Zea mays: one gene and its partners. The protein of the gene in region 1 binds, or shares a complex with, the protein of each later gene. Links are inferred from orthologs where the notes say so. Each region holds a gene or a part of one and is shown on either strand. Other genes may lie near its edges.

The links.
Region 2: Nuclear-pore anchor (region 1) and Zinc finger CCCH domain-containing protein 46 share a complex: the UniProt entries of both Arabidopsis thaliana proteins name them as parts of the nuclear pore complex. The link is inferred for Zea mays from reciprocal best matches to the Arabidopsis thaliana genes NUA and AT1G75340.
Region 3: Nuclear-pore anchor (region 1) and Aladin-like share a complex: the UniProt entries of both Arabidopsis thaliana proteins name them as parts of the nuclear pore complex. The link is inferred for Zea mays from reciprocal best matches to the Arabidopsis thaliana genes NUA and AT3G56900.

Annotation. Positions count from the first base shown.
Region 1 is NC_050099.1:187,927,075-187,932,866, reverse strand, and holds part of Nuclear-pore anchor, read right to left. Parts: intron 4,128-5,792; coding exon 4,035-4,127; intron 2,503-4,034; coding exon 2,347-2,502; intron 2,266-2,346; coding exon 2,212-2,265; intron 1,640-2,211; coding exon 1,526-1,639; intron 1,393-1,525; coding exon 1,315-1,392; intron 1,233-1,314; coding exon 1,083-1,232; intron 833-1,082; coding exon 761-832; intron 305-760; coding exon 158-304; intron 80-157; coding exon 26-79; intron 1-25. UniProt on the Arabidopsis thaliana protein: Component of the nuclear pore complex. Acts as a docking site for activities required for desumoylation and mRNA export. Required for the proper expression or localization of a subset of miRNAs.
Region 2 is NC_050100.1:60,014,982-60,021,279, reverse strand, and holds the start of Zinc finger CCCH domain-containing protein 46, read right to left. Parts: upstream 4,386-6,298; 5' UTR 4,042-4,385; coding exon 3,998-4,041; intron 3,856-3,997; coding exon 3,627-3,855; intron 3,513-3,626; coding exon 3,430-3,512; intron 3,336-3,429; coding exon 3,237-3,335; intron 3,149-3,236; coding exon 3,055-3,148; intron 2,625-3,054; coding exon 2,401-2,624; intron 2,215-2,400; coding exon 2,102-2,214; intron 1,626-2,101; coding exon 1,418-1,625; intron 1,047-1,417; coding exon 983-1,046; intron 435-982; coding exon 387-434; 3' UTR 289-386; intron 194-288; 3' UTR 1-193. Other genes in the region: uncharacterized protein LOC100275809 isoform 2 precursor, read left to right, coding at 4,681-4,789, 4,904-5,036, 5,145-5,274; uncharacterized protein, read right to left, coding at 6,120-6,298.
Region 3 is NC_050105.1:1,559,400-1,565,746, reverse strand, and holds the start of Aladin-like, read right to left. Parts: upstream 4,386-6,347; 5' UTR 4,264-4,385; coding exon 4,206-4,263; intron 4,090-4,205; coding exon 4,034-4,089; intron 3,930-4,033; coding exon 3,759-3,929; intron 3,074-3,758; coding exon 2,959-3,073; intron 2,849-2,958; coding exon 2,749-2,848; intron 2,641-2,748; coding exon 2,458-2,640; intron 2,000-2,457; coding exon 1,941-1,999; intron 1,849-1,940; coding exon 1,761-1,848; intron 1,684-1,760; coding exon 1,608-1,683; intron 1,364-1,607; coding exon 1,264-1,363; intron 1,162-1,263; coding exon 1,110-1,161; intron 673-1,109; coding exon 535-672; intron 447-534; coding exon 359-446; intron 266-358; coding exon 212-265; 3' UTR 205-211; intron 132-204; 3' UTR 1-131. Other genes in the region: protein ROOT PRIMORDIUM DEFECTIVE 1-like, read left to right, coding at 5,541-6,347.

The DNA.
Region 1 (5,792 bases):
GCAACTAAGTGAAAAAAAACCAAACCTTTAAGTTTAAATTAATCTTCTTATGCTTGTCAATCTCAGATTTAAGGGACGCCTACAATAGGACAAAAAAATATAAGTACTACAGCGAATTAGTTAATATATTAGTCATGAAAGTTGGAACTATTATCACCTCTACATCATTCAGCTTCTTTTCCTTGGAATCCAATTCAGATTGACATAATGAAAGCTTATCCTCCAAAATTTTTATGGCAACTTCTTTCTCAGAAAGCAGTATCTTTGCACTTTCAAGCTCCATAGAATTCTCTCTCAAGGTTGACTGTTGAAAACGATAATTATGTTAATGTATGTGATAGTAAGACGATTAAACTATGACCCAAAAAAGTCAAGCAAATCCAATATCATACAACTAATGAAATTAGACACTTAATGACTCATGTACAGTTAGAGACTTGCGCCATCACTTTCACCCAAAGCAAGCATCCATCCAAAAGATAACAATAATCGTAATACAGAGTACAGTGCAGAAGCTCATACAGTTTATGTCACAAACTCACAGCAAAGAAAATAAAGTGGTACAAAAATATTTGGTACAAAATAGGGAAACAAGACACTATAGTGATTCATCAAATGTTTAGTCAAACTAGACAAAAATGACAGTCATCAAACTCTTTTGTGCAGAAAAAGAAATCCAATCATGTATACATCATTGACCAAGAAACATTCAAAATGGCATCATCACAAAGAAAAACGAAGAGGAAAACAGAAGACTAACTTTGATATTTTGAAGTTCATTCTTCATGGCTTCATAAGTGTTCAAATCAATGCCTTTGCTATTTTCAATCAGCTGCCAAGAAAACATTAATACACAACTGCAGAACTCAACATATGAAGAATAGAATGAATTAATATATAGATTTTTATGCACATATTGTTTTCTCACAATGTTTACAATTTTTTTATGGCAATAACCTGCATATTACAAACCAACAGACTAAAACTTGCTTGGGACAAAAACCACAGCTGCTGTTCTTAATGAAGCCAAAGGAATTTCATGGCATTTTATCATTACTGTTAGAAAGTGGACTAAAACTTACCTCAGAAATACTTTGGTTGAGATTAGCTATTTCTGCCTTCTGCATTTCCAGTTCTCTTTTGCACATTTCAGCGTCTACCTCCTTCTCCAGTAGAAGGTTCTGCAACCTCTCAGATTCCATTTTAGCCTTTTGAGCTTCTTCACGGAATTTCTGAACGCACAAAATTAAAATAAAAAATTATGCACATCCAGATATGAACCAGCAATTAAACATTACCAATTTAATATATTACCTGGCATTCTTCAAAATTGTGCCTGTTCTCCTCCCTAAGTTGTATGTTGCTTTCACGAAGCAAGTTAATTTCTCTGACCTGAGGTCGGTCATTTCAAATAAAAAACAATAAATAAGGTAATAAGGCTAAAATACACTCAATAACCAGGTCAAAGCAACATAGCAATGCGACATAGCTATGTGATCAACTAATCCCAACAATTGAATTGCACCTGAATCTGCAGTGACTTGAACTCTTCATCCTTGAACATCAATGCCCTGGCACTATCAGCTTGACTTCGCAACAAGTCCTGTGCCTCCTTGGCAGACTTTAAAGAACTTTCCAGCTGTATTACCATTATAAAGAAACATATGAAATTAGAGACATCAATACATTCAACCAAAAAAGTTTGTAAAGTAAACTACAATGGAGGTTCACATGCTCCATCAAATACTACTTCTAACACAAAAGTCCCAACCAAACATTCCGAATTTAGTCTATAAAAAACCCCCTTTCCTTGAAGACAGATGAATTAAAAAGGGTCATCAATTTCAGAGCATGTACGCATATAGCAGATAACACCGTTTCCAGAGCAAATTGGCTATTATTAGGGAGGCGTCAATTTAAACAAACAATTGCCAGTAGAGCTGGTGTTTTGACACCAACTAGAAGGCAACATGACGCACAGCAAAAAAAAATCATAGATCCTACGACACTGAACCAATGCACAGTTTATCAAACAGAAATCGAACAACTTTTTAATTATATGGTCAACATGGCATATTGCATCTGGCAGAATGTGCTGCAGTTTTTTAACCAGCAATAGATGGTCCTCATGGAATCTTATATTTTTAAATTCAAAAGCATTTTGAATAAGGACAAATGCAGGGCAGGTTGCCAGGTGCTAGCATAACATACTTCTATCTGAAGCCGAGACTTCTCCTGTTTAAGCAATGATATCTCTGTTTCGGCCTGAAATAGTCAATAGGCTGAATAAGAACCACATCTAGTGCAAACTGAATACTAGACAAAGCCTCCAAATCCAATGCTTACTATTTCTTTCGATCTGCGCAGATAACTGATGACACTTTGTAGATCATCTTCTGCATGTGAATTATCAGTACGATGTGATGAAAGCCCAGCAATATTCCGTTCTTTCTCGGCTAACCGAATGTGTAAAGCTTCTAACTGATTGTGTAGAATTCTATTCTGCACTCATAACAAAATAGAAATCATGAAAAAATGCATGCTAGTCAAACTCAGAATCATTAATTGTGAAAAGAATAGCATTAAGAAGCAGTGAAAGCACAGACTCCCAATATATGCCTAGTTGAAGTAGACCATAAAAATACATACGTCCACAACCGTCACTAACCAATTTCATCTTCAAATTATTTACTACTACAAATGAGACATTTATCTAGCTGGAGAGTTCAAGCCTTTTTGCATGATACTCCCTACATTCCAAATTATAAAACATTTTGGCTTTTCTAGATACATGCTTTTACTATGTATCTAGACAAGTAGACATAGTGTATATCTAAGTGCATATATAGCAAACACTATGAATACAGAAAAGCCAAAATGTATGTAATTTTAAATGGAGGGAGCTGTGTTTTCATTATCATCCGACTAATCGCGATTAGTCGGGCTGGTAGGTTTTGGGTGGTCAATCAGGGCAGGCGACCCGATTAGGACACTGGACACCTGATCGCCTTGGCCATCCGACTAGTTGCCGACTAGCTACGATTAGTCGCTCGTTCATCAGGAGATAATGTCCAACCAAGGTTCGACGCGCCTCAAATTTTTATGGGCTTTTTTCTGGCAAGCAGCCGGCTACAGAGAGGTGAAACGTCCGCCGGCAGCCTCAATAAAACCTTCCAAAATTCTAGATCTCTGAAATTCTCAATCGCTGTTCATTACTTGTTCTTCTAAATGTCCAAAATTCTAGAGTGGTAGTAAGTGTTTCTTTGCTGTTTTGAACACCAGCATTACTTTAGGGTCACTGGGGAGAAACTATTTTTAGATGGATGAACAAATATCTTCTCTTAAGTCAGTATTGCAAAATTCATGTCATGTTTAATCTTTACTTTATATATACCATATATACGATTAGTCACCTGGTCGGAACCCTAGGTCAACCAGCTGGTCGCTCGACCAGAAAACATAGGGAGTACCATACTGTGCTACGCTCATAATAGGGATGAAAACAGATGAAAGCGGGATCAAAAAAAGCCGGGAGCGGGAGCGGCAGGACCCAAAAAGCCGGGACCAAGATAGACGGCAATACGGAACGGGTAAATACGAGTGGGGATTCAGCAGAAACAGACATAAACCAGAATATTAAAACCAAACAGAGTACACAATAACACACTTGAAGTTACAGCTATTGAGTTATATTATTTTTTATATCTAAGATGTACTGTAATTTCCCGGTTATATGAAAATGGTTGGGACAAAAAAGGTAGAGGGTACAGGATTTATCCTGTCCAGTTTCATCCCTAACTGACAACAATTACTTGTTCCAAATATATGTCTACACCCCAGCAGTAACAATATGTCCACTACAAATTAACACTTGAAGTAGGCATGTGCTATGAAAAGAAAACAAAAGGTGAATGTCCAGCATGCAGTTACAACAGGCAGAAAATTACTTAAACAAGAATAACAAACATCAAATGTAATAAAAAAACTTTTTGTGGTAGTGTATTAGATATTCAACACAAAAATTGCTAAATAACCTGATCATTAAGCTCATTATACTTCTGCAGGGCATCGTCCTTCTCTTTCAATAAGCCTATCTTTTCTTGTTCAGCAGAAGATCTTAGACATTCCTGAAATGATTGCAGTATGAATTAGTTACGTAAGAAACAGAACAATGGAAACTACAAAATTCAATGCAACATTGATAATGTACACCGGTAGGCGGTAGCACATCAAGAAATCGATACATTTTTTCTCAAAAAAAATGCACGAAGAGGCCAAATTTGATTTTATTTCTGATTGCTTTGCTCACTTCTCGCAAAATAAGGAACCATATATAATCAAAATTTAACAAAAATAACACATGTGCTAACGATATACCCAGCATTAAAAGTATATTATAGCATTAGAAAACCACAGAATATAGATAAACTCAAAGTCCACCAAAGAAAACAGAGGTGGCATTCTGGGAACCCAAGCCAGGCATACAACAACACAAGCGAAATCTTTTCGTCCCAAGCAAGTTAGGTTAGGCTAGAGCTGAGACCCAACACAAGCCACAAATCAAGTTCAGGCACATGGATAGTTGTTTTCCATTCGCTCCAATTCAAGGCTAAATCTTTGGGTATATTCCATTCGATCAAACGGCATTGGACAAGTTTTTCTTCAATTGGTGTTACCCCTAGCCTACCACGTATATATCTAATCATACATGGGTTACCGATATCCGTGCGGGGGGCTTACTGTCCAAGTTCTGGTCGAATATCTGAGAATTTTGGAGTTGGTTGATGCTGTTATTCTGCAACCAGGAGTTCTTGATCAATTCGTTTGGTCGAATATCTGAGAATATCTGAGTACTCTTATCAATCTGAATCTGCTTATCGGGTTTTCTTCTTAGGGACAATTAAATTTGGGCCTTGGAAAAGGATCTGGAAAAGCTGGCCACCCCTCCGGTGCAAATTCTTCATCTGGCTGCTGTTAAAGAATAAATGTTGGACGGCGGATCGCTTGGCTAGACGTGGGCTCCCGCATTCTATTATCAGTCCTCTTTGCGACCAGGAGCAGGAGACCATGCAGCATCTTCTTATCTCCTGTGTTTTCCCACGTGAAGTTTGGGCCATGGTATTCACTTGCTTGGGGCTGCCTACACATATCCCGCAGCCCAGTGGAAGGAGTTTTTCAGGCTGGTGGTTTGGGGTAATCAATCAAGTTCCTAAGGAGGTCAAGGGCATGAATTCCTCGATCATTTTGGTAGCCTGGAAAGTCTGGAAACACAGGAATGAGTGTGTGTTTGAGGGCTTTAGTCTGTCGTAAAATTGTGCAGGAAGACAACCTGTGGTGTCTTGCTGGTAATTCAGCGCTTAGCCTTCTGTGTGCGATGTTGGTGGGGCTGGGTTCTTGAGCAGTCCCCCTGGTTGTGTTTAGGTCTTTTTTCCTCCTGAGTGTGGCGCGCCTGTGTTTGTAAGACTGAGACTGTGTCTGTATGGTGTTGGCATCGTCCCCCACATGTTTTCCCTTGCTTAATAAAATGACATGCAGCTCTCTTGCGTCGTTCCAAAAAAAAACTCGATCCCTTCTTGCATGGCCACAAAACCAACGCAACCCGCAATACTTATCTGTTGAACATAACGTCTTTTTGTAGGCCAACATTCTCCACCATACAACATAGCAGGTATAATCATCATCCTATAAAAATTGCTTTTTAGCTTACGTGGTACCCTCTTGTCGCATAGGAAACTAGATGATTGGCATCACTTCCTCCACTCAGCTTTGATTCTAGGGCTAACATCATAAAA
Region 2 (6,298 bases), on another chromosome or scaffold:
ACAGCTAAACTCAACAAACCCTAAAACAAGAAATCGGGATATTACGAGCCCTGAATGTGACGAAGTACATGGAGCTAACAAGAAAACAATAGAGACAGAGTATGTGATGCAGGATACAAGAAGTTTCTACGCTGCCCAATCAGCATTTCAGGTGCATTTTATGCCCCCAATTTGACGTGTTATGGTTATGAACCTGCAACATAGTTGGATAATGGAATCAAACATGGTGCTAAGGTTCTATTTTTTCATATGGAACAAGACAAACCAGAGAACATGTACCATTGTTACCTGGAGGAGAAATTGTAAGATGGTGTCCCGACAATATGGAAGGAGACAGTGAAGCTGACTTGACAGTGGTTCCACGACACAGAAATACAAGAATGTTGCTAAAACACGTGACTAACGTGCCTCTGTGGCGGTTCACCCAGCGGAATCTGAAAAACAGTTGATGTGAATCAAAACCAGATATCTGTTGCCACTAAATACGATTGCATATGCAATAAAAATGTAGCGAGGTAGATAAGCAGGTTCCCATCAATAGTCAACATATATGTATAATTGATTATGGGTTTCCGTTCTTAGTGGCATGGATTTATGTCCTAAAATAGTACATACGTCTCACAATAGTTCAAATTTAGAAAGGTATCAAACATGAAAAATGCACATCAAACAGGTGCTCAACAAGGAAAAGAAAAAAAAATACAGCTAGACAGGAAGGTACATGCAAAAGATTTTGGACACAGAAAACACCAAATAAGAAAATATTGCAGACGACACTGATTCAAAAACTAGAGGTAGTTGCATATCATACACGATCGTACATCACATGCAACAACATGTGGGTGATCCGTGACTGACAACTCAATGGCTGGTCATTAATAAAACAGGAACAAATATGTACTGTACAGGAATAATAATGTCTATAGGCAAACTAGTGTAGAAATAAAACTATCAACATGGACCACAAAAAAGTATTCCATACCTCTCCAATTGACCATTTTTCCTTCAACCAGATACTATCATCCTGATTTTCATTTTTATTGTCCCTGTTGAATAAACATAGGGGGAAAATAGATATAAGCAACAAGAAAAATCACAATGTCGCATAAAATATTGCAAAGGTTACTAATCAAATCGACACAAACAAGCATATATATACATGAACATTCAAGTCTGATTGGTTAGTTTTAGCTAGTCCTTTGTGAGGAAGAGCAGTACTTTCTCCATGGCATCTACACAAGTACTGCATATTCGCGAAGTCAAAAAATAATACCCATTCATCATAGTGTTGGTCTTTTTTTCCTCCACCTCCCATCCCCCCACCCCCTACCCCAACACACACATAGACATTTACTTAAGCTCCATATATTACGTACTCAATGTCAGCATACTCTACACATCTTATTGAAGGACTTACTCAACAGGAGCTTCATTTGTGGCACTTGTAGGAACCACAATTCCACTAAGTAAATCTTGTGACTGCCTATCAATGTCTCTGTGATGGCTAGAGGAGGAAGGGGACTGCTGGTAGCTGGCATGAGGCTTTGAGAAATTGCCAAAACTGGACATGTTTGAGCCTTGAAAAGTCCCAGATGATTGTTGTGATATCTGGCTTCCAAATGGACCTGTAAAATCCTATAAGTTGAAATGGCAGCCAAAAGCAATAGGCCGAATCACATATTTCCTAAATGGCTAAATTAAGAAAAAGAAAGACGACAAAGAAAAGAATATGCAGAACTATAAGTGTCTAGCATGTTTATTTAATTTAATTCTGATTCGATATTAGTGTCCAAAAGAGTTCCTGTTGAGTCCAACTACAATCCTAAAAAAGTTGTATATAAATTAAATGTATGCTCGTCCTAAGTGATATACAAGATTATCCCTAAATCTTTAGCATATATTAGAAACCTATCAAATGATTAGTTCTTTATAAACATATGCCAAAAACGAAGAGCCATGAATCAGAATGATTAAAAAACCAACTAGACATGGATAGACACATTCACGCAAACTATATTACGCACAATTGAATTGACTGAGTACCAAGTTCGTTGAATAAAGGGTAGCAGTGTAACTGCACGGATTAATCAATAATACATACCTGAAACTCCAAATTTCATATCAGAACGACCAAAAGTAGGTGCAGGAAATGTTGGATGGCTTGGTTGGGTAGATTGACCAAAAAGAGTATTGGTTGGGACTCCTGGTGTAGTTCTGCATGAGATAGCTCATTGAATTTAATATGGCACGTGCACACAAAAACTGACTGATCAAAATGGATAATAATGTCTGTAGATTATTTTGAAGACCACTAATTTCTGATGGAATCATCAGTTTATTCAAAAAAATAACAGTAAGGTTAATATTGCCCAACCTCCAAGATAATCAAGTGAACATTACCTGGACCCAGGTCCCATATTAGTTGTTACTCCAATTTGACTGAAACTACTAAACACTGGTGGTCCATTATTTTGAGAAACCCCAAATGCTGAGTTATTTTTCACTTCAGGGAAGGAAGCCACAGTTGGAAAGCTTGGAGTTTGTGATACCGATAGACGTGGCGTGTTCAGAAAATTATTAAAGTCCGTCAGCTTTGCATTTTTCAAATTTTTTTCACCCTCTACCTGAAGAAAGGAAACAAATGAATTAGATGTCATTCTTGATAAAATCCATCAAAGATCATTTCTATGATGACTAAACTATACAGTATATAAGAGAAACTAAAGTAAGTACTGTTGTGTTGCTACAAAAGGCGCAGCTCCAATTGAGTTCTGATAAATACAGGTCTTGTTGCTCAAGCAGGTACATTTTGCATGCCTCTACCATTAGAAAACCTAACAGGAATAAGGGACACAAAGGTACGATCACAAACATTTAATAATATCACATGTGGTTTTCATACAGTTTATTATATATCATTTTCCATGGCCCTTGTAGGAATGTTTTATCACATAATTCAATGTGGAAGATCACATACTTGATACTTCCAACTGGAAAAATCCAATCAAATCAAGACTCGATAACGGGAAGAAAGTTGGAAGCGCCAAAGCTTACTATTGACTGCAGAGGATGCCCTTGCCTGCCTTGCTCATACGCGTTAGCTCTCAGCTCTTCAAAGCTAATATCTCCCGTGATGTCACAAGGACCGCTAACACAAACAAAATACAAAAAGATGAGCACAATGCATTGAGGGAGGCAGATGCCACTAGTTGAAGCACGACGAGTTAGTTATTTACCTCCTGAGGTGAGCATAGCACGTAAGCTTCCAGAGTGGAGTTTCATTCTTAAAATCCTCGGCAATCTGTTGCCTGCAGGACTCAGGATCTGTACAGGAGCTGGCAAAAAAACTCACAAAGTTGGTGACTCACATATAGCAAGGAATAATCAAGCAGGATTCAAAAGTACAGCATCCCAGAATCGCAGACTCACGTGTGGGCTGCTGCTGGTGGCTGTGCCGCTTCCTGTTGCTTCGTTGGGGCTGAGGGGTCCCTTACCCATTTATTTTGAAATGGCTGATTCAACAAATCCATCAGTCAAATAAAGGAATGATCGTTACACAAGCTGAATTCCACAAGTGAGAAAGAACCATAAAAAAACAGATTATGTATCCATCAGACAACACAAACCTTTGCCTGGCCAGGAGCGTTTCTGGACTGTGCAGCCGCACTGCCTTGCACTCCAAATCCAAACGGGTTGGGCTTCTGCTGCTGCTGCTGCTGGAACTGCGCACGAAACGAAGACTGCTGCTGTTGCTGCTGCCTACTCCCTAAGCCGAACCCAAACGGGTTGGGCTTCGCCTGCTGCTGCTGCTGAGAGGAGGCGTGCACAAACCTGCAGTGCGATCCGTACTTGCAGCTGCACCATCCAGGACGTGAATGAAAACCACAGAAGGTACGGGCACCCAGAGCGAGCATAACGACTGAACTTAAATAAATGTGCACAGCCGGAGGCAATCGCATGCCGCGGCAACGGAGAGGGGGAGGAGAATACTCCGCACCTGCCGCGCTGGAAGTTCCTGCAGAGCTCCTGCCGCCGGTCCATCGCCGGGAACGGTGAGGAGGACCCGAGCCGTGCGCTGGAGCTCAAGTCCTAGGGTTTCGTCACCGCCTCCAACTGCAACTGCCTGCTCCCTCACGCGGAACTCGCGTCGACGCGACGCACGGCTCGCGACTTGTGAAACTGGAGCGTAAGGGAAGGGGAAGTACCCGGTGTTCTTTCCTCGCGGCGGCCGGCGTGGCGTGGGCGTGGCACGCGACGCGGGCGGACGCCGTCGGAGTCGGGGAGTCCTACGCAGCGTCGGAGTCGGGAGGATCCTCCCTGGGCCTCGTCCTGGGTGAGGTGCAAGCGCTGGGCTAGGTGCCGCAGGCCCGATAAAGATCCGGCCTAGCCCGGGAGCAGGTGGGCCCATCGTATCTTCCTTCCTCCAGTCGCAACTCGCGAGTCCACTGGTCACTTGTGTTAGCGCTGGTGATTCGGCAGCCAGCGAGGCTGATCCGGGACCGGGTGGCTGGCCGGTGGCCACACCAGAGGTCTATTATACCTGGATTCCGCGAGGCCACGGACCACGGTGCGCGCGCTCTTGTCTTGTTCCTGTGCCTGCCACTGCCAGTGCCACCATCTCGCCGTCGGCGTCGGCTCGTCGCCTGAGAGCCGAGGCCACGCAGGCACCCGGGCCGGGGGATGTCGGCGCCGGCGGCACAGGCCGTGGTGGCGCTGGCTCTCGCGGCCATCCTCTCGACCCCGGCGCCCCAGGCGGACACCTTCTCCAACGTCCCGCCCACGCTCTCCGGTGCGTGCAGACACGCACATTCGGCACATGCTTCGCAACCTTTTTCCCTTTTGTGCATGCGTATGTCGTAGTCGTAGCGTCAGCGTGGCTGACGGAGGAGGAGCTGGTGAGCAGGGGGCGACGGGAAGCAAGAGCGGATCAAGCACCCCAGGTCGGCCAAGGCGTTGCAGTGCACGACCAAGTGCGTCGGCACCTGCATCCGCGGCGGCGGCGGCGCGCCCGGCGAGGGGCCCCTCAACGTCAGGAGGTAAAATAATAAAGAAAAACACCAGCCACCGGACCTACACCGGCGGACGAGTACTGCCGGTGCGTTTGACTTGTTCATTCACGTTGGGTTGTTTTCTGGTGTGCGCAGGCCCCTCGTGGTGTTCAAGGACGGCTTCCGCAGCCGGCAGTACTGGTGGGTACTACTACTACCTGCACTACAGCCCCCTCTTCTTTTCACTATAGCAGATGCTACCACTGCTCGTGGGTCACCAAAGTGAGCTCAACTTTCTGATCTGATCAGTTTGTTGTTCAATTAGCCTGATAGAGTGCTCGGACATTTGCAATCGCATCAAGGATGGGCAGGACGGACCCTGAGACGGGCCAGAGGAACAACATGCCCAAGCCCAAAGTTGTTGGAGCAACTGCCATGGCTGCGGTGCAGGCTAGATATGGGATCCGGTTCTTCTGCCAGGCCTCCAGAAGCAGAACTTCAGAGGCGACAAGGGTAATAAGGTACAGTAAACCAGTCAGTAACATATAGGATCCAGAGACATTTGCTAGCAACAAAATCCGAGAAAAGCTGTTAAGAGTGATGCGTAGTGGTCTTGATAACCGTTAATGCGATGAACGTCAGGACCATGATGAACAGATACAATGCATAAATAGCACCATGATGAACTTAAGTTTTTATCTGGGAGTAGGAGTTATGTACAGTTTTTCTTTTAATGAAACTCGACAAGATGTCGAGACGGACGAACCGATTAAGGAATTCCAAAGATATGCATCTGACTTCCAATGACACGGGTCAATCCAGTGACTGCTATCTCAAATCTTGATACTCTCATGGTCGCTGGATATAAACTTACTTTTCCAGACATGATGGTAACTCGAGAGACAGCTCTTACACTGTTGAGCGGTCTATCAGGGCTTTGGACTTCATCACTTCTGTTGGCAGATGGCAGTTAGGCTGTCTGAAAGCATGTAATATATCAGCAGAGGGCAATCACATAAACCTTTTGTTGTGACTGAATTCATATATAACAGGAGATAAACACACTAAAGGCTAGTGCAGTTTACCATTCAGGTTGTCTAGGCAGGGAAGCATCTGAATCTCGGATAGCAGTTAATTTAACGATCCCGCATCTGGCAGGAAGAGGTAGCGAAACCGAGAATCAAATGGAACGACGCCGAAAGTACGGGTGCCCAGGAGACTTTGCCGCCGTTGAGACACGCAGTGATCGACAAACGTAGCTTGCTGCTGGGGTAGGAAATGCGAGATCCAGATTGGGAAGCTGTTGTCGT
Region 3 (6,347 bases), on another chromosome or scaffold:
GGCGCCATTTCTCGAGCCACAACGTCACAATGCAGCAACTCGAGCTTTGCATTTCTCCTAGCAGGCACATCGAAGCGTTCGGTCTTCCAAGTCGTCAGCAACATTCAGTCCTGAACCGGCGAGGTGCTACGCTAGACAACGAGAGAGAACTAGTCAATACGGACGGAGGTAACTGGGAGTTTCAGTCGGCCCGAGGAAACTTACACTGGAGTCAACGAGGACGAAGTATCAGCGGATACGTACAGCACCAGCCACTGCTCCAACACTGCGTAAACGGTCAGAACCACATGTGAACAAAAAGGTAGGAAAAGCAAAGGATGCCACTGTATTAGAAACGAATGAACCCACGATATCTTACCACGGAAAGCAATGGCCCCTGCTTAAACTTGCTATGAAAAGCAAAGGCGAGCGGCTTTGCTCCTTCTCCAGGTCCCCGGATGAACCCACTAGTCGTGAATTTCGACGGATTTAGTGGTGATTACGGAAAGTCAATGGAGCACAGTTTTACTGTAAAAGAAACGAATCTGCTCTTACACTAGTGATAGTGAGACGAGTGGAGATCTCCGCACGTCATATATCGCGATCAGGCCACGGTACATTTCGTTTCCATCTCTGAACGACAGTGCCAGACGTTCCCCCGATGCGTCCCATGCTAATTTCTCTATGCCTCGGCTATACGAACCAGTCAAAGCATTCATTAATCATTATTGAGTGGAAGTAAGATTCTGTGCTATTATAATGGATGGATGGACTTCCAAAAAAAACAAAGCGCATTTCAGAATGAAAGAATGTGGTGCGCGACAGCAGACAGCGGAATCTGAAGACAGAATTCTAAGGAAATTAAATGATTTTATGCCTTTTAGGTTGTTTCATGTGAGTTTTCTTTCCTTACAACCCTACAAACCTATGGTCCTATGCTATGTAAATCAATAACAATCCTGAGCTAATTCCCTTCACAAAAGTTACGTCAGCAATAAGTTACCACGTTCATTGCGAATGGGGTTAGTTAAAAAAAGGGTCAACAGCCAAAATTAGCGTGCAAGAAGAGAAAACTATGTAGTATAAAATGCGCATGAGATCAGAAGCCACATTAATGCTTCTGTTGTTACCTAACAATCAGGGAGGAAATTTCTGGAAGTTCAACTGGTAGGAGGTGAGCATCTGAAAGATATAAAGAGCACAGAACAAACGATCAGAATTGAGACAAATAAGACAACAACAAAGCTTTAGCAACAGAGTATTTGATTGGTTGCTTTTATATACCTAAAGATGGTGGCTTCGATGAGAAGTGAATTGAACCAAGCGTCGTCGAGTTAGAAAAGGATAATAATGCAACTCGACCTTCTGGGTCCCAATTTGCTCCCTGACAGCAACCCAATAAAACTAAGCAAAATTGAGAAGAATTTCACAATTATATACTATATGTGGTTTACAGGGGCAGTGGGCACATTATTTGTGTTGCCAAATAGAGTATTGTACTCACTTCTTAACTAAGGACTGTTGTAAAATTGTGCTCCAGCAAAAGAACAACAACAGAATATTGCAATGCAAAAAAATGATGTCATATGTTCCAAAAGCAGGTATTTGTGACTGAAGATATCACTTACAGACACATATCCATTAGACGAAGACCAGGGTTCTGAAGTCCATGTGTTTGTCTCCCAGAAGTGAAAAGTACCATCACTAGCAATAAATGAAATTTAAATTTTTGGAAATATTATCGACAAGAAATGAAAACGAAAAGTGAAAATTGACCATACAATTTAGCAACTAGAAGGTAATCTCCACTGGGTGACCACCGCACTAATGATATATTGCTTAATCCACGCCGTATAGGAGTTCCCAACCCTGAAGCAAAAGGAATGTGTCAAGATTATAGCCAACAATTCTGTATAAATGGGATTGACTGCATGTATTGAGAAAAGGACTGGTATACATACCTTGAGACACATCCCAAATTGTGAAAGATGAACTATTACATGAGGCAGATGCCAAGTATGTGGAGAGCAGTCAAGGAAAAAAATGTCTTCAACCGTTGAAATTTCCCACAAATGACTAAACCTACTGTAAACATCTATGTATGCATGGTGCTGTAAATTTGGCAAAAATAGAATTTTTGAAGTTAGCCACACACTGTATTTTAGTTATTTTACAGTTTTAAAACAAGAGAAACGGTGAGTAGTCATGGCTAAAGACCTCCAAACTCTTTTCTATGGCCTCCTGCCTCGGTTAGTCGGTTATTAGGTTGTTTTTTCCTTTTGTTCCAATGGCATGCCTGCATTGTGCATAATGGGTTTGAGTGTTTGTGTTGTGTTGGGTAAGTGGTGTTGTATATTTGGGTTAGCTTTCTTTGCCGACGAAATGATACAGAGGTGTTTAGCGAGTTAAATAAATAAAAGGAGAGATGAAAAGCAGCAGCAAAATTCACAATGCCACTATGAAACTTATCAAGGATATCTTCCATCAGGTTTCCAACAAAGTGCACTAACGAGCTCAGCAGAAGAGCCACGAAGAACATCCACAAGTATCCACTGACCACCAGAACCTCTAGGGAAGGCACTAAAGGAAGAAGAAGTGACCCCAGATTTCATGAATGGGACATTGCCAGGATATGATGCCGACCAGAGGCATATCCCTCCTCTGAAAAGAAAATGCTGATTTCAATATAAAAGTAAAGTATGACAGCAAATTATTCAGAGACAACAAGGATTGATTCAAGTTAAATGGTGAGGTGGCAGTAGTACACACTTGCAGGCAACTGCAATCATCTTCCCACTATTTGGTCTCCACTCAACAGCCTTAACATCCGTTTGATGATCATTTGTTAAAATGCATGGTTCTTTAGCATCTGTTAAAGAGATTGGCCAATGTTATGTTTTGCAACTAACCTGATGGATAGAGTTCAGTTCATAAATAAACTAATAAAACATAGCAAAATAGGCACAAGGCCGATCTTACCTGAGTCCTCAAAGTCTTGGACAGTAACCTGGTTCTTCCCAGACACGAATGCTAAGCAATGCTTGTATGGATTCCAACTTACTTTCTGCGTGTCAAATTCTTCTAGCAGATTTGGCTGGTAAACAAGAATGATCGAATTTGAGTACGACTGTAATGGTTTCGTAAAAAATCACACAGGAAATGTACAAGCAGGAAGCAAATCTAGGGTGTTCATCCCAAGAACAATAGCTGGAGGATAGATTTTTTTTTGGGAAGTATGCTGGATGAATTAGTAACTGGAGTTCTGATACAACATCAACCTTCAAGTTATGTTGAGCTGTGCTTTTGCAATCTGAGTAACATTGTTACCTCCTGAATCATGAAATAAGTTATTTTACTATGTTAAAACAATTCAACATATATCAGATCATGAAAGCACACTGTGGCACTAGGGAAGTGAGAAGCAGACAATGCATTCGCCTTTGGGCACAGAGTTTTCGTTGCATGACCATGTATTTGTATGTAGATATAAGCACCAGCAACTGACAAAAGATATGATAAAATTCTGGAGTTCACTTATCTACACACAAGCGAGTGGTTTAAGTACGCGGGTATCTCTGGGGACAAATTTGAGGAACATCAAATTGTAGTAACTCAGAATCTCAGTTAGGAATATAGGACAATCCAATGTGAACAGCATTGTAGTAACTCAAATTTATTTGGCTTGCAAACCAGAATGGTCGAATGTGAGTATCATTGTAATGATTTACTAAAAAGTTTACATTGAGGATAAGTAATTCAGATAGGACGATCCAACTCACGTCTAGTGGAGGGAAGACCATCCGCCTGAAGAAGTCGGATATGGTGGCTGCCAAACCAGCGGTGGGCACAGTGTCAGCAGGCTCGACTTGGTCCGCGGCAGGAGCAGCAGGCTCGCGGCTGGCGAGAAGAAGAGCCTCCGGCTGGAACGGAATCGGGGCGAACACCATCCCCTGCAACACGACGGCCAACAAGCCCCAGATTTGAGCCCCTCGTCAGGCAGGCAAGCACAACGTGGTTCACAGATGAAGAGTGAGTTCGAGGGGAGCGGACTGACGAGGACATCCCCATATGCGTCCTTGGCGCGGTCGTCGGAGAGGGCATCCACCGCAACTGCGAGAGGCCAGGGGGAGGCGGATTGAATCAAACAAGCGAGCGGAAATGCTTACTACAGCTAGTTAAAATGAGTGTGTGGTTGTTGGGGGGCAGCGGATTTGCTGGGCGCTTACCGAGGTCGCGGTTGATCTCGCAGATGGTGACGGCGCCCGGCGGAGGGAAGCTCGGCATCGCAGCTAGCTAGCTTGATAGGGTTAGGAGATAGATTCGAGGTTCCCGGACCCAGCCCGAAATGGGGCGCTTGAGCTCGACCAGTACACGAGGCAGCCAGGGGAAGCGGCGGCGGAAGCAACCGAGCGGCGAACGGGGAGAGAACGGAGGCGCGAGCGCGACGGGCAGACCAGGGGCGGATGTGTTTTTCGCCTCTGCAGCCCATACAAAACCAGCCCATAAACAACCAGGCCTTGAAGGCCCAGCCCAAAGCACCTCGCACCTCGCCTCTCGATCCACCATTCTCCGTCCGCCGTCACCCACGCTTGCTGGCTCCGCCGACGCATCTCGCAAGCTGCCAGCGCCCCCCTCGCCCCTCTCCACTGTGGTCCGCAGCCGCTTGGAGCTTGCAGCTTGCCTGTTCGTCGTCTCGGTCCCAGCCGGCAGCCGGTCAACCCTCCAACCCCCTCTCTAGGCGGCTAGGCAGCAAGTCTCCCAGGCTGGCAGGCTCCCAGCCGGCAGCGGCAGGAGCCCGCACAATCTGCTCGGCCCCTGGCCCCTACCATGCTTGGCCGCCTGGGCACCTTGGTGCTAAACCTGCTGAGGCAGAGAGTAGAAAGGACATGACATCGCTCTACTAACTGGCCACCGGTAATCAATATTTCATCCCTTTTTATCTGGCAAATTTTTACTTTAATGATTAATTTAGTTGCATTGAGCGGGTGGTGGAAGGGTTTAAGTGTTAAATGTGACCTACGGTTGAATCACGATCTAATGGATCAGATGGTTTGCTTGCACGCTTGCACAGAAGGACTGCTTGCATAGCAGTCGTTGCCGCATTGCATACCTCAGAGCCTGGAGGCTAGAATGGAGAAAATATAAAAAAGATTCTTAGCATTGTACATGTTGCTTTGGTAGAATTGATATTGTTATTTGTGTTCTTCCTTGTACCTAGTATACATTTTGGTATGTCGCCAGTAAGATTTCTAGCCTTAATTATTTACCCCCTCCCCACACACCCCCACCCACCCCTACCCTGGATGATTTCCGCCACTGATCAGCAGCTTTCTTTTCTCCTCTTTATTCAGTGAACCTTATCAAGTCATGTAAATAGAACAATCCCACGTGCATTCATGCGAACCTGGTGCTTTCCATTCCATTGTCTACTAAACTGACTCCGCGTGCAATCTCCTTCCTTCTTGCAGTTGCAGCTCCAGCAAGTCGCCATTGCTCTAGAGATCCACATGTGGTTCTCGGTGCATTTTCGTATCTTTTAGAATTGAACTGTGAAAAACACAATGGCATCGATCTTATCTGGAGCAAGGAGCCTTCACTCACTCGCTCTGCTATCGCGGATGTTGGGCGAGACGACTCAGCTCGGTCCTTTTAACCGCAGCGTGCAGCGGAGGTGGAGAAAGCCTGTAGATTCGGCAAGAACACGTCTTGAGGGAAGAACGAGGGATCATAGGCTGGACAAACTAATGGTTCAGCTGAGGAACTTGAGGCTGGCCTTGGCTTTGCATGAGGTGATATCTCAGCAGAGGAACGGATACGCGTCTCTCCAGCTCCTCTCAAGGTGGAGGCATGAGGTCGGGCTGAACATTGAGGTCGGTGCTTTCCTCAAGAAATACCCCCACGTGTTTCAGACCTACGTGCACCCTGTCAAGAGGAACCACTGCTGCAAGGTCACGCAGAAGATGTCCGACTTGATCGCAGAGGAAGACGCTGTGGTCAGGGAGAATGAGGTCGGCGTAGTTCAGCGGCTGAAGAAACTTCTCATGCTCTCTGTGGATGGAACTCTGAACATGCACGCGTTATGGCTCATAAGAAGGGAGCTTGGGCTTCCTGATGATTACAGGTCCTCTATACTGCCGAACCATCGACATGATTTAATTCTCAAATCCCCAGATACTCTATCACTTTTCTCTAGGGATGAAACATTGGCTGTAGCTAAGGTCGACGAGTGGAGGAAAAGGGAGTACACAGAAAAATGGCTAGCTGAATCAGAGACAAAATATGCTTTCCCGATCAACTTCCCAACTGGATTTAAGGTTCAAAAAGGTTTCAGGGAGAAACTCAAGAACTGGCAGAGGCTTCCCTACACC